Kluyveromyces lactis: one gene and its partner. The protein of the gene in region 1 interacts with the protein of each later gene in a biochemical or structural test. Links are inferred from orthologs where the notes say so. Each region holds a gene or a part of one and is shown on either strand. Other genes may lie near its edges.

Evidence for each region.
Region 2: the proteins of SUI3 (region 1) and SUI2 form a complex in vitro, tested with the Saccharomyces cerevisiae proteins (3 studies listed by BioGRID). The link is inferred for Kluyveromyces lactis from reciprocal best matches to the Saccharomyces cerevisiae genes SUI3 and SUI2.

Annotation. Positions count from the first base shown.
Region 1 is NC_006040.1:749,977-754,250, forward strand, and holds SUI3 (translation initiation factor eIF2 subunit beta), read left to right. Parts: upstream 1-1,966; coding exon 1,967-2,803; downstream 2,804-4,274. Other genes in the region: RTP1 (Rtp1p), read right to left, coding at 1-575; YAR1 (Yar1p), read left to right, coding at 852-1,472; ADD37 (Add37p), read right to left, coding at 3,220-3,747. UniProt on the Saccharomyces cerevisiae protein: Component of the eIF2 complex that functions in the early steps of protein synthesis by forming a ternary complex with GTP and initiator tRNA.
Region 2 is NC_006037.1:1,018,995-1,023,687, reverse strand, and holds SUI2 (translation initiation factor eIF2 subunit alpha), read right to left. Parts: upstream 2,163-4,693; coding exon 1,254-2,162; downstream 1-1,253. Other genes in the region: MHO1 (Mho1p), read right to left, coding at 1-625; KLLA0_A11792g (uncharacterized protein), read right to left, coding at 2,593-4,693. UniProt on the Saccharomyces cerevisiae protein: eIF-2 functions in the early steps of protein synthesis by forming a ternary complex with GTP and initiator tRNA. This complex binds to a 40S ribosomal subunit, followed by mRNA binding to form a 43S pre-initiation complex.

The sequences.
Region 1 (4,274 bases):
GCAGCATTTCCCGTGGTACACATTAAAGCCATATACCCAATCATTGTATCGGAATATCCGGGTCCGCCTTTCAAAATTATCTTTCTAACATAATTGTTTTCTGGAGTGTGTAAAAATATCGATTCAAAAGCCAATAGGGCAACCTTCAATGTCTCAACATCTGCGATCTTTCCATTTGGAACTTTGTACAGTTTATTTTCTTCTTTGAATACATCAAGTCTCCTTTGTTCTATGGGTATCCCAATATCAATTGGTAGATTTGCAGTGATCCCATGAATTACCAATAAATTGATTAGGGTATCAAAATCCTTCATATCATGTAATGAGATCGGTATTATGTCCGCATTTTCTTGTTGTTTTTCTGCGACTAGACTACATAATCTAGTCAAGAACTTCGCTAATTTTTCTATAAGTTCCTTGTTGCTTAAGTTTAATGATTCGTAGATATCACCAATATCGTCATTATGTTTTATAGGTTTAAGGAATTCATCTAACTCTTGAAAGAATGCATCAATTGGAGTATCGCTTACGAAATCAAGCTTCCTAGATAATACTTCTGTCAATTTATTTGACATTTTGTGAAACCGATGTCAGGTCTTGAAGGCGCAGCTGACACTCTCCCGATGTAGGCGTGATCATGTTGTTCTAAAGAGAGGTGCTCAGAGATGTCCTGAATTATATTTAAAGCCTTTAGCACATCTATTTCGGAGAAAAAGAAAAAGTAACCTTTTAACATGAAAAATTGAAAAGTTCACAGAATTTGGATTATGAGATGAGATGAGCTAAGATATGAACAGAGAACAGGAAAACTACGCAATCAAGCCCAAAATACAGAACGAAATTATTGTAAGATGAGTCTACATACAGGACCTTTAGATCAAGAAGATCAAGAAGCTATCATCGTTGATGCAAGAGCTGGAGATTTGGAGTCTCTTAAGGATATTTTTACCACTTTGATAGATCCAAGTGCACTCATTGAATGTACAGATGAATTGTCTAAGTCATCTGCCTTGCATATGGCAGCCGCCAACGGTCATTTCGAGGTGGTAAAATATCTACTAAGCATTTTCCCAAAGGATAAACTAAAGGAATGGGTCAACAAGCAAAACGAAACAGGTAACACTGCATTGCACTGGGCTTCGTTGAATGGTAAATTGGATATAGTACAGCTTCTTTGTGAAGAGTATGAGGCTGATCCATTCATCAGGAATAATTTCGACCATGATGCCATCTACGAAGCTGAAAACAACGGACAAGAAGAGATAGAAACATATTACTTGAAGAAGTTCGACGTGGAACCCGAATCGACCGAAAATGAGGAAGAAACTTCATCGGAAAAGGAAGGAGAACAAGCCTCACAGCCCGCATCTATCGACAACGTCCAATTTAGAGAAGGTACAGAGATTGAACAAGTGACCAAAGAAGCTACAGAAGCTCTAAGAGAGCAAACTGAAAAGCTTCAACTAGAATAAGTTTCCTCTGAAAATGAACCGTGGTCAAAAAAAAATCATTCGGCTGGAAAGCTGTATTGTGGCCAATTTGAGCATAAAATATGAACCAAATGTCCATGTACATAACTGTATACTAATCATCAATAAACATAGGTACACCTACCTCATGCGCCCAACAAGCGGAGTTTTATCTAACCAGACTCAAAGGCCAAAGAATAGATAAGTCACGTGTGTTACCCGAACACTGAACGTGCACAATGACAACACTATCGCGTGGCCTGGGAAAATTTTGAAAATAGTGAGTTTTCGGAAAACCAAGAGAATTGAAACGACTGGATCGCAATTGTCATCGCTATTCAATATCCTATTGGATTCTTCAGCTCATATTTGCACAAGGGTAAGACAACTTCTGTGGAAATCTGTTGGCAAGAGTCTAGTTCGTGTAAAGTTCAAGGCCCTTTCCGTTATTACTAAGGAGATTAGCAAGAAGCGAGAAGATACAAAGATACTCAACGATGACTGATGTTGCGGCCGACTTAGGATTCGATCCAACGATGAAGAAGAAGAAGAGCAAGAAGGTAGTTCCGGAAGAACTGATTGCTGCTTCCACCGAGGGAACAGATGATCTTTTTGCTGGTTTGAAGAAGAAGAAGAAGAAGAGCAAGGAAGGTGAAGAAACCACTGAGAAGCAAGTGGACGACATTTCAGATGCTCTAGGCGAATTGAAGTTGAAGAAAAAGAAGAAGAAGGCTGCTGCTGCCGAGAGCAGTGTGGATGACTTTGAGAAGCAATTAGAACAAGCAGGTATTTCAGTCGATGATATTGCCAAGGAGGCCACTCCAACTGAAATCGATTCTAGCATTCAACAAGATGTTGGCCTACCATACCAAGACCTATTGTCTCGTTTCTTTAAGATTTTGAACACAAATAATCCTGAATTGGCCGGTGATAGATCAGGTCCAAAGTTCAAGATCCCTCCACCAATCTGTCAAAGAGATGGTAAGAAGACTATATTTGCGAACATCCAAGAAATTAGTGAAAAATTACAAAGATCCCCAGAACATGTAATCCAGTATCTATTTGCGGAATTGGGTACCTCAGGTTCTGTTGACGGTCAAAAGAGATTGGTCATCAAGGGTAAGTTCTTGCCAAAGCAAATGGAAAATCTATTAAGAAGGTATATTCTGGAATATGTCACCTGTAAGACTTGTAAGAGTATCAATACCGTATTGAAGAAGGAACAATCGAACAGATTGTTCTTCTTGGTTTGTAAGAGTTGCGGTTCTACTAGATCCGTTTCCTCCATCAAGACCGGTTTCCAAGCCACCGTCGGTAAGAGAAAGAGAATGTAGATTAATTGATATGACGTATCAAAATAGTAGTATCATTAACATCTACCGAAAAATCAGAAAAAACTTCGACAATCTTCTAATGTTCAATACGATACAGTTCGAAAGGAATCAAATAAACCTCATAAGGCATAGCTAATATATTCATGGTTGAATATTTTCTCCAGGGAGCATCGCATCGTGCAATTCACACATAACATATGAATAACACCAAATACTTGAAAAGAAATGAGAATAGAAGGTATCTTCATCCTTCTTTCACGTTCATTATTAATTTTTTTTCTGTTTGTGTATGTTATCTAATGGTTTTTATCTAATCTGTAATTTAGTTGTTATAAACAAAACGACGAGATCAATGCTCTAAAAGATCAATTTAAATTTAAGCTCTATAATCTGAAACCCTTCCCCCAGTTAAAATATCATATCTGTGCATTTTCGATCAATTTACGGAAAGAAGGACACCACGAATTCACCGACATATCCGACAGCATCCATTTTGTAATTAAATCTGTAACCCGTTTTGAATCGTTCAAGTTGGCGAATATTTCACTCAACGCATATCTTGTGCCCTCGTTTTCCAATACATTTTCTAGAACCTTATCCACCTTAGTTTTATAAAAGGAAAATTCCTTATCTTGTAAGTTACTCGGTAACGATGTGATCCATTGATATTTATCAGACAATTCCTGTTTGCTCAACGCTACGATGGAAGTGTCGAGACTTTCTGTACTTCTTAGTTTTTCACTAACTTTACGCTTCATACTTGGAGGTGGTACTGTTGCCATCCTTGTATTCCCTGAGGTGTCCACACTTTGGGACACAATTCTCTTTGGTGCTATACTGGCAGCGCCCGGATAAATGAAACTAGGACAATCATTGTACCCTGGAATTTCTGTCTCCCTACAGTTCTGGAAACTCCTAGTTCGATTCATTCCGGATGACTCCATTGTGTTAAGTCGTGGTACTACAGCAATCCTTTCTCAAAACAACAGATCGATTTGTTGATTTAGTTGGAGCATATGCGAAATACTCTAAGCTAAGCTAGTTGCTGAGAAATGAATTGGTCGACCTTACTGGTTAGTATTCTCCTTCTCACAGTTGTAAAGATGACAGCTGTTAACAAAAATAGCCTTGTTGGATTATGTACACCTTAAATTTTTTTTTTTTTTTTTTTTGGCGAACATCAGTTGGAAATCCATAAGTACGCATTGATACTCTGACGGTCTTGCGTATACTTGACTCAAAATTATCGGCAAACCTGCGACGTCACCACGCACAGTACACTGCAGAACCGAGTTAGATGGACATTTTACTATTTAGTCTCTGACCGTTTAGTATTTTTTATTATAATATTGTGTATACTGAGAATCTTTGTGAAAAGGAAACCACCAAATCATTGTGTCAGCGAGTTTTGAACTACAAATTCCAGCAACTTGGCTGGTGCCTGTGGATTAGAGATATTGCTGAATCGACC
Region 2 (4,693 bases), on another chromosome or scaffold:
CAATATCACTAGATTCCATTACATATCCGGTATAACCAAACCTACGACCCCAATGACAAAAATCACTACTCAAGATGAAAAGAGTCTCCTCATCATCTACATACTTTTGTAGCAGTTTCCCCAACTCGAAGTCAACCTTTGTTGAATTGTGCGATACTAGCAACGGTAAAATCTTTATATTGGTAGGATCCACACCCCTTAGTTTTGCTGCTGCCCATAACATCGGAAACTGCATTTCAAGCGAATGTTCGTCCATATCAACTTCTTTACTCATCAAGACAACTTTCCCACCAACCAACAACTCATTTCTTAGTCCACCATCAACTTTAAAGTCTCCAAATGGTGTGTTAACCTCATCAAATGAGGTAACTTGAATCTTGTTCTTAAAGTAAATGTGATGTGATGGACCCATTATGATACACCTCTTGACATTAGTAAAGTCTAGTTTGGAATATCCTAATGCCATCGTATCCCCACAGTACTTATAGCCAGCATGCGGAGAGATCAAATGCTTAGTCCCAGGAACCGCTTCGTCTCTTGACAATAGTTGTTGCAACGTAGTTATCAAAGCAGGAGAAGAAGAATACCATGATCCGGCATGAGTAGCTGGTCTTACTGAACTCATCTTATTGCGACTTATATCTGTCTATGTGTTTCCCTTTTTTTCTTATTATTTTCCTGGCCTAGCGATGAAATACCATACAGGATCCCAACTAGGCTGTGAATAAATGCAAATTACGTTGACGTTCGAATTAGTTTATTATACACGTTTAAATGAAATACCCGATGTGCTAATGTTACTACATAGAAGTTTCGTTTCGTTGTACTTTAAAGACTTTTCACTCTTTTTTCAAAATAAGGATTTATGGAGCTTCCCTTTATTATTATAAGAAGAAACTAGAAAAAAGGAAAATGGGAGTTTCCTAATGTAAAAATCCTTTAAAACGTCCAGTCGTAATCGAATGGAAAGGCTGACAGTAATTGGCAGATACCACCTGTTCAAATGCTAGAGTAGTTCTCTGCACAGTCAAGTGGAAACATAGGTTTATTACCTGAACATCTGTTAGAAAATGGCCTTTTGTTTTTGTTTCATCTTCATCAGTAAATATAATGCAATGTTAAGTGAAGTAAGAAATGGAGAGAGGACATGCAAAGACTTATAGGTATCGAAACGCTGTATACACGTATAACAACAGGAAGCAGTAGAAGTATATCTTTTTAATTCCTTTTTTTTTGGTTTCACTTTAAACCATCTATTCGTAATCGGAGTCTTCATCTTCGGAATCTGATCTACCTTCTAATTCCTTGGATTCTAATAGTGCTTGTAATTCAGCATCTTCAGTGGCGGTGACAGCCTTTGGAGCCATTGTGACATTACAGACACCATTGTACTTTAGAATGACTTCTTCGATCTTTGCGATAGCAGTTTCCAATAGTTGAACACCTTGATCTTTGTCCAAAGATTGGGTGGTGATGACGTACAATGGGGCAGCCACCAATTTGACTTTGATTTGCATTTGTTCAGTGGACAACTCTTCAGCAGATTTTAGGGCTTCTTTGATAGCATCAATACCCTCGTAACTGAAACATGAAACCTCGACATCTGCTCTGATCTTGACCGCTTGTGGGGTCAATCTTCTGGTGATTTGGCCCTTCAATTCTTGGAAAATTTCGTCGCTGATAGATTCAATACCATCCCAAACGTTAGGGTCCACAATGGACATCTTGTAGGCATCGTAAGCATGACCGTACTTTCGACTTAAAGGCCATGCATAAGCTTTGTACAAATCTTCCAATGATACTTGGTATTTCTCAGCACATTGTCTCAAGATGGAATGTACGGCCTTGGACTTTTGGTATCTTTCTTCACATTTGATGACATCTTCTGCAGAAACACGACGCTTAGACAAATCAATATAACCCTTCTCCTTATCCACTCTTAATACAACGACAACTTCATTCTTACCAACACGAATCAACTTTTGGATAGATCTAATACGTCTTCTTGACAATTCAGATAACAAAACCATACCTTCAATGTTGTCATATTCCAATAATCTAACGTAAGCACCCATTTCAGCGATTTGTTGGACGTTTACCATCACAACATCATCAACTTCAGGGAACTTGTTCTCGTAAAACCTACAATTGGAAGTGGACATCCTGCTCTGTATATCTAATGGCTCTGATGATAAATTCTTGTGTAATTTTTCAATTGGAAGATATACCACAAACTCAAAGAAAGTATACTCTGTTTGTAATCGTTATCTATCGCAAGATACAGATAAATTAAATTCCTCGGTATCAGAGACTGCTCGCGTAAGTTCGAAGCTTAATTGGAAACCTTTGTATACCGATATTGAAATTGCTTTGTTGCTTCAATATTGTATATGCTTTCCAATGATCAATCTTTTCAATTTTTTGATACTTCGCATCACAGTTTCGAAAAATTTTTAGATCTGCTCGTTAAGAGTGATGTACTACACGTGACCTAACTATTATAATTAAGTTTCATTACTTACTACTAATGGCCCTCAGGTATTAAGCTGCAGAGATACTAACTACCAGTAACCCATACTAGATGCGATCGTGCTAAGAAGCGCCAGAAGATTGATTTTTTAGCCTCGTTTTGATTGTTTTGATGTGTGCGAATCTGCGAGACCATGTAGAACAGTGTTCTGACGATACGGACTCGTGCCAAATTTGTGCGAATGTGTTTGCGACAGTACATAAATGCCTGACATACGCTGCGAGGCGCTGCCTATGCATGATTTTGAAGTGGGATGTAGAGAATATACCAGGAACTTCTTTTGCTCTGTAAATCTTCACCTTATAGAATTCACTCACAGAGTCTTTTTCATCTTTGCCGTTCCACATTGGTTTGATGACAAGGTTTATGAAATTGAATTGACTTTTGATTATGTCAAACGGGAACGAGTCCTGTTTTCGTTCATCGTAATATATGTTGATAAAGTTATTACCAACGTGTCTTTTTTTCATTGTTCGATCTGGATCTGCTTTGTCGTCGTTAGGCATTAGGGATACAGTATGGAACACGATTTGACATTTTTGATCATGCCAGATCAACGCGTACTCTCCATCTGTACCAGGATTCAAACCGCCGATGTAAAAAGTTTCATTTTGATCAAGTTTTATTATTGATCCGAGTTCGTTAACAAACCATTTGTATTGATGGGATCCATCCTCCATAGAGTGTGACAATATATCCTTTTCAGTTGTGTCATTGGGTCCCATGTATAGCAATCCAATCTTGTGAAATTCGACCACTGGGATAGTATCAACAAGCTGAATAGACTTTATCAAGTGGGGTTCTTCGATCCGAACCATGTCTTCGTACGTATCTTCTGCACTAAATTGTGCAAGAACATACCCTGGCGTGAACATATTTGCAGAGGCGGGTTTGGTGTTTTTACCAAATTGGAATAAATCAAAACTGTCAGGTTCCTTCTTTACTATGGGATCCACATTGAAGATGGAATTTCCGGATGCACCTCTAGTGACAACTAATGATGCTCCGGTTGTAGTGTTTACTTCTATGCTTAAGATTTTACCATCTCGATACCAGTATTCATGTAAATAATGCGGATCTCCACTGTTGGGAGTATCTGAAGTAACTGTCTCCACTCTTAATTCTAAATCTGTAGTAGTAAATCTAGTAACAAGGTCCTTATAAGCTTCAGTATCGTCACAACGTTTTAATGTTGATAATTTTACCATCAAAAAAGGTGCTATCAATGGTCGTTTGGATAATGAAATTCTGATGAACCAATGTGATATGATCTGATACGATAGTGTCAGATAAAAATGTGCCATTTGTTTGGTGACAGTAAAACTACTGGTAGATGGATTGAAAGATGCTTCCTGTTCATCTGTAAATGAGTGTCGCACAAAATCCGCTTCTTCAGCCTCCTCTTTCAAATCATGCGATACTTCGATCAATTTGAATGCAATGGTAAACACACGCTTCAATTGATCAATTGTTAATGGAGAAATAATCTGTGGGGAATCTGATAAGGCAATTAAAAATTCAAGTAAACAGGGTATAGCTTGCTTTTTCGTTAATCTTATCGAGATTGTCTCTAAAAGTGGATTCAAATGTTTCTTAATGGAAGAAGGGATTTCGTAACATGAAACACTAAAATTATGCAATAAGGGGACAATTGTCTTCTCAAATGATGATTCTAAAACACCTAATGAAATCTTAATCATTTCATCAGCCTTGCTCTTTCCCAAAAACCCATAATATGGAAACAATGAGGATAGTGTCCTTACAAAAGCAAGTTGAACGTCACTTTTATTGATCCCAACACCCATCTTTATTGGGCATCCATCCTTTAATTGATGTAAAATAAGGTCATGTAATATTTCAATATTGTGTCTATCATTTTTGAAAAGATGATAATTAGCCAACTGCGGACATAAATGAGAAAGTAGATACGTGTACAATTCCCAGTCAAGAGGTTTTCGTAATGTCTCGATTAAGAGTTCAGTCCACTCTGAAATATCGATATAAGCGAGGCAGTCTGCGTCAAACTTTTTACCAAGTGTACCTTTATCAATATAGGAGGTTGTTTCATCTTCTGGATATTTCCATAAGTAAGAGCCGTCAATTCCTTCTGGTTTAATTACAGTGTTTCGATTTAAAGTTGCGGTTAACCCATCTATGTCAGTT